Linked DNA regions of Sus scrofa. The protein of the gene in region 1 interacts with the protein of each later gene in a biochemical or structural test. Links are inferred from orthologs where the notes say so. Each region holds a gene or a part of one and is shown in the gene's direction. Other genes may lie near its edges.

Evidence for each region.
Region 2: the proteins of GPRASP1 (region 1) and OPRD1 form a complex in vitro, tested with the Homo sapiens proteins (2 studies listed by BioGRID and IntAct). The link is inferred for Sus scrofa from reciprocal best matches to the Homo sapiens genes GPRASP1 and OPRD1.

What each region holds. Positions count from the first base shown.
Region 1 is NC_010461.5:83,764,076-83,768,209, forward strand, and holds the start of GPRASP1 (G-protein coupled receptor-associated sorting protein 1), read left to right. Parts: upstream 1-1,401; intron 1,402-1,504; 5' UTR 1,505-1,563; intron 1,564-2,899; 5' UTR 2,900-3,053; intron 3,054-3,523; 5' UTR 3,524-3,623; intron 3,624-3,812; coding exon of another isoform or gene 3,813-3,951; intron 3,952-3,952; coding exon of another isoform or gene 3,953-4,134. UniProt on the Homo sapiens protein: Modulates lysosomal sorting and functional down-regulation of a variety of G-protein coupled receptors. Targets receptors for degradation in lysosomes via its interaction with BECN2.
Region 2 is NC_010448.4:85,823,276-85,825,472, forward strand, and holds part of OPRD1 (delta-type opioid receptor), read left to right. Parts: intron 1-149; coding exon 150-691; 3' UTR 692-2,197. UniProt on the Homo sapiens protein: G-protein coupled receptor that functions as a receptor for endogenous enkephalins and for a subset of other opioids.

The sequences.
Region 1 (4,134 bases):
GCGCCCCCTCCCACCTTCCTCCAGACTTTGGCCCCTGAAGGTGGGAAGCAGAATTGGGGAGGGCTGCCCCAGAACCCTGGCACCATCTGGCCTCAAATAGCCTCTCCCCTCCCAGCCTGCTTTCCTGATGTTTCCTCTACCTCACCAGACACGTTATGCAGGAAATATGGTGGGTCAGGCCTAAAAAGGGCCCATAACCAGATGGTTTGGCATTTAATCTGTTCTCACTTTAGTTCTGCTTTCTTAACTCTCTTCCACTTCATCTTCCTTTTCAGGTGACAAATAAGGAAACCATACAGTGGGATGAAGGGGAGGGGTGGGAGCTGGAGGAGGGAAGTGGTTCAGGAGTACAAATATACTTGAGTATTAATCCTCTTCCATGAGTACAGAGTTGTTTTCCAAAGTATCTAGGTGCATAAAATATCGCGGGCATCAGGAGAGGCGGAAGCATAAAAATAGCGTATGTACACACCAGAGTAGTGTGATATTAATAAGCTTCACTCCATGCATCTCTGCTTTCTCACCTTAACTTAGACCATTTTTGTGCAAGAGAGAGTAAGGGCGAGAGACTTAAAGAAGAACAAGAGAAGACTAAAGCATTTGGTATTGATCAACAAGTCCAACTTGAGCAGCTTTCCAGACGCCCCGCTCAGGTCCTGCCCATTCCTTCCAAAAAATGAGTGCTGGGAGGGGCGGCTTGGAGGGGACTCTCTCACAGAGGGGACACACAGATTTTAGAGAGGATGAGAATTTATCTTCCTTTCACTTTTCAGCCTCTCTGTCTCAAACCTTTTCCCCAACCTTCTTACCCCGACCCCTACCGCAACCCACTCACCCACCCCTGCAGATCTAGGGCTCAGGAGGGGAGAAATGTGTAAAAACTACATTTTGGTATCCGTCCGCCTTATTAGGCCAGAGCTGATTCACTGACGTCAACTCCCGAAACCGGCAACATTTCAGTTCAGAGGGAAAGATTGTATCCTGGGGCGGAGCGGGGAACTCCAGAGAGAGGTAAACTTAACATGAGACCCTTTGGTTTTAGTCTGTGTCTCCTCGTCCAGCCCTGTTTTTCCTAAATGCAGACCCCGCCCCCGCCCACCCAGCACACCGAACAGCCCGGGTGGGAGGGGCGGAGCTCGCCGGCAGAGGAAGGAGCGGCACTAAGCAAAGCGCGGTATCACTCCGCTTCCGTGAGGCCGGATCCCCTGAAACTCCTCCTCCGCGGCGCCCGCTGTCGGTTTTGGTTCAGTGGACGTGGCGAGACAAAGTCTGCGGAGGGAAAGGTAGCTGTTAAAGAGTCACTAGGAGCGGGTCGCTGAGGCGTCCTGGGGACGGGAAGAAGAAGGAAATACCCAAACGTGACAGTTCTTTGCAGTTACGGCCCTTCATCTGATAAAGCAGGTATCTCGTCCTGAATCCCAGGTGCAGGGCCCATCCCCAAACATAGTCGCCGCCATTGTCTCGTGTTCTTGCGTCCGTCTGACTGTCTGACCTTCTTTCTTAGGGCTCGGCATCTCTCGAGGCAAGGGAATGAGAAAACTGCTTCTGATCCAAGCAGAGCAGGTCAGTGAGAAGGCAGGCATCGCTTGGGAGTGTGGCTGTGGGTGTTAGAGGTGAATGTGGGAGATGTGACCTGGTCATGGGGTGCGGGCGGTGAGAGGGAGAGAGGGACGAGGGTCATTTGAATGGCATCCAACGATCAGTTAAAATCTACCTCATGCTAGCTTGATCTCCAGACAGTCGCCCCACCTCCGACCATGTTTGGGGAAGGAAAAGAGTGTAGTTAGCGGCTTCTAGTGGAGAAATGGCGGATTATATTAGGAGGAGGAGGGGGCTGCTGCTGTGGGCAAGAGCAGTTGTCTGGGGACCCCTGAGAGGGAAAAGTGTATAAAGAGGTTGTGTTTGATAATCAAGGCCCTGGATTAGAAAAGAGCCTCTTGTCCTGGCTACTAGGCTAACCGTTAATAACCAAGTCTCTCCTGCTGTCTTCTCATTTGGTCCTTTGAGTGTGTATCATGCGTTTATATCTGTAGGTTTCTTGCTACATTTGCGGTACTCTACGTTTCTGTAAAGATCTGTAGGGGTCAGCGAACTTCAAAAGAAAGGGGAAAGGAAAAAGGAATTTGGCCTAATTTCTGTAGAGTGGGCAGTGCTTGGATGGTTAAGACTAGAGCAGATAGGGGTCTTGGGGAAGCTCCAGATCTTCTTTCTGCCAGCTTTCCAAACAGGCCTCCCTTAGTCGCACCGTATTTTCAATGGTAGGCTTTGGGGAGGAGAAAGAAACACAAGAACTTAGATGAAATTTAGAAATAATACTTTTCATTGATTTCTCAGCCAGCTTCCATGGTTTTTCTGAGCATTCTACCCTTACTAACACCACTATCTTGGAGGAATGTCTCAGTTGTCTCTGCAGGGGAATTGTCAGACTTTGAGAATGGAGCAGAGGAGCTTGGAGATTTGGCAGAGGGGAGGAAGAAAAGGAGATAGAAATTTTTGGCAGTCCGGTACCTCTATCCAGAAAGAATCAGTGTCCTAGGTGCTGCTCTCTACCAAGGACTCCCATTGTCTCCTGTGTCTCTTTTTATCTCTACATTTGTGCATCTCTGTGTGTAGATCTATCCTTGGGTGTTTGGAACTCTCAATTGTTATGAAGGTTTATAAATGGTTAACCTGACTTGAAATAATGAAGAAGAGAAATATGTCTTGTATCTCTTTAGATTGTTGTGAGGGGAGAGTGATGGATACTAGAGAACGCTATGTCTTCTGTTTTGGCAGTTTACTAACCCGTTTGGTCCTTTGCTGATTTAGTTGGGAGTCTTCTTAAGTCTTGGGCATATAGAAAGGTAATATCTGCTTTATTACTTCCACTTGGTTTTCCTATTTTTGTGCTTCATCCTAGCCCAGTTCTGAAATAGGCAAGAGCCAGTGCAGTCAATGAAGAGGGAAACGGCCTGAAACAGGGAAGAGGAGCAATCATGAAGCAAGGCAATGTGGGAAGGGACTCGAAGGAGGGAAACGCTAGACAAATACAAACATAGGGACGGGGGATCAAGGTCAGTCTACCAAGAGATCAGTTTCCATATCTTTCTGTTTATTTGTCCATAGATCTGCCTTTAGGTCTGCTCTAGGACGTGTCATCACTGAAAGCAAGGAAAGGAAGGAAGTATTACTCCAGATTAGTGCGGGTTAGTGTGAGTGTGAGACTTCCTCAGTAGACCTGTAGGATGAGGTAGTGGAGATCTGCTTGGGTACAGTAGTGGTAAAGAACCAGAAGAGGGATTCTAAAGTCTCTCTCACTCCCATCCAGCTTTTCCACTCTCCATACTCCTATTTTGTGTCTGGAAAAAAGATCAATTGTACCTGCAATAGTAGGGAGCATAAAATGAAGGGGGAGAGAGTTTGCTAATTATCTACCTTTTCCACTTAGCACTGAATTTCCATGTTTCCCTGTCTCTCTGTGCTATCAACATGAGAAAAAAAAATGGAAAAGACTCAAAGCCCCATTTCCTTCCTCCACCCCTAGGTCCAACTTCAGTGGCAGATCTGGTGGCCTTGGAGTGGCTGAAGACCACCACCCTCCACAGGGCTGCGCTCAGGCACACAGCCATCCTTTCCTTCCCTGAGTGAGCTTCCTCTGCACGTTGTTCATATCATTGGCAGGGCCTATAGTTGGAAAGGGGGCTTGAGTGACAACTGGACTTTGTATGAAAACACCAACCTGGGACAAACCTTCAGTCAAGGCTGAGACGTGGGTGGGGATACATAACTTGGCCTTGCCTTTAACTTGGATCATGACTGGCTTCAAGGCTAAGGAAAGGGCAGAGGAGGGGCTGGGGCTGGCCTGAAAGTTGGAATCAGTGGCCCTGCCAACACTAGAGCCAAGGCTAATATCCAAGCCAAGGCAGTGACTGAGGCAGAACTGAAGACAGGACCAGTGATCCAGACCAAGACGGGATGGAGCAGTGGCCAGGACACAGACAGTGACCTACACTGAGGCCATGGCTATGACCAGGGAAGTGAGCAAGATGGAAGCTAAAACTAAGACTAGAGTCGTGGCTGAGACTAAGTCAAAACCCCTGGTAGAACCTAGTGTAGTGTCCCAAACCAAGTCAAAGACCATGCCTGTGTCCAAGA
Region 2 (2,197 bases), on another chromosome or scaffold:
ACATTCCAGGTAAAAAATCCCCTGGAGCAAAGGCCAGGAGGAGGCAGTGGAGCTTGACCAAGGGGAGAAGGGTGGGCGAGCAGGGAGGCAAGATCCTTAGACCCATAAGGCCCTCATCCTGTCTATCTTTGCTTGTTTCCCTGGCCCAGACGGGGCAGTGGTGTGCATGCTCCAGTTCCCCAGCCCCAGCTGGTATTGGGACACGGTGACCAAGATCTGTGTGTTCCTCTTCGCCTTCGTCGTGCCCATCCTCGTCATCACCGTGTGCTACGGCCTTATGCTGCTGCGGCTGCGCAGCGTGCGCCTGCTGTCAGGTTCCAAGGAGAAGGACCGCAGCCTCCGGCGCATCACGCGCATGGTGCTGGTGGTGGTGGGAGCCTTCGTAGTGTGCTGGGCTCCCATCCACATCTTCGTCATCGTCTGGACGCTGGTGGACATCGACCGCCGTGACCCGCTCGTGGTGGCCGCGCTGCACCTGTGCATCGCGCTCGGCTATGCCAACAGCAGCCTCAACCCCGTGCTCTACGCCTTCCTGGACGAGAACTTCAAGCGCTGCTTCCGCCAGCTCTGCCGCACGCCCTGCAGCCGTCCGGAACCCAGCAGCTTCAGTCGCGCCCGCGAAGCCACTGCCCGCGAACGGGTCACCGCCTGCACCCCGTCTGACGGCCCCGGCGGTGGCGCTGCTGCCTGACCCGGCCGGGCAGGCCCGCCGTGCGCCCCTCCAGAGTAACCCTGTGGCACGCCAAGTTCTCCTGGGGGCGGGGGCCACGACGCGGAAGGGGACAGCTGGATGGGGATGAGGCCCCTTCCGTGGGGTGGACCTTTGGTCTGGGGCTGGCAGGGGGCAGGAAGAAGGTGGGAGTGCTTCTAGGCTGAGCGCAAGGTCAACGGCCTTGGGTTGTGTTGGGGGAGTTAGCGAGCCCAGGGGAACGGGACCTGCCGCTCTAGAACCGGGCGGCTAAACCGGGCCCCTTAGATGGGGGTGGGGTCTCAACCTTGAGAGGGCCATGAGTTCTAATTGAAGCCAGGCTTGTGGGGGCAGCGGGGTCTGGCCTGAGACCGGCCCAGGACCCGGACAGGCAATGATGAGGAAGGTGGAATTGAGGGGGAAGACTGGGTCTCTGCGTGGTGGGGAGGGGCCTCCTTGGGGTGACTGGGAAGGACAGGACAAGAAGCTGCGGCGACAGCTCAACCTTGGGCCATGAGATGGGGCCTCTTTGCGGAGAGGGGCCTCAGCTTGGGGTAGAGTCCCAGCCAGGAGGTCATGACAGAGTCAAGGCCTGCCAAGGTCCAGGCCCAGCTTGACATCTTTATAAAGAGAAAATAATATGGAGAGAAACAATATACTTTCTCTCTCCAGTTTCCCTGGAATGGTAGAGATGCCCAGCATCCAAGGAGTGTCCCCAGCACAGTGTCCCAGTGAGGCTTGGGATGGGGCAGTGGAGCAGGGCCAAAGGCTCCAGGGTGGGGTAGTGGGACAGGGCCTCAGATGGTGTGGGATCCCTAATAGGGAGGAGTAAGGGGGGACCTGTGGGTCCAAAACCCCAAACCAGAACTGCTTGTCTGTCTCTGTGCCAAGGGCTAATAGGGGGCATCTGTTTTGAGGTTAGGTCCTCAAGCTGGAGGGCAGATGCTTTGGGGGGTCCTCATGACCCCATTTTCTCTGGCCTTGGTGCTGGGGGACAGAGGTCCACACTAGTTAGAGCTCCATGAGTGTTGGTGGCCCTGGGACTGGGTGGGGGGATCTGAAGCATTGGAGTGGAATTTTCCTCCTCTCAATCTCTGGCCTCTTGATAAGAACCACCAGGAAGTCCTCTCTCCCTTCTCTAACATCTGGCTGCACCCAGTACATCCAGGGAACTGGAACTGCATCCCACCCCAGGACCTGACTTTGAAGGAATGGGGTGGGGGTGGAGTGGGGGGTGGGGTTTATAAGCAAAATGCCAGCATCAGTGTGTTCTTCCGTCTCTCTCCCGCTCCCCAGGGTCCTCAGGTCCCCCACTTGCTCGAGTGCTGAGGGTGAGGTCCACCAGAGCTAGGCATAGAAGTTTTTCTCTTAGTTTGGCAATTTATTCAACCATTCCCAGATCTTGGCTTCCCCCAGGATCAGGGTCTGGCTTGTTTCCTGTGCCTCTTGTGTGGTTCATCCCCCCCATCCCCCGCCTCTCTCTGTCACACACCCCTGACTCCCTATTGA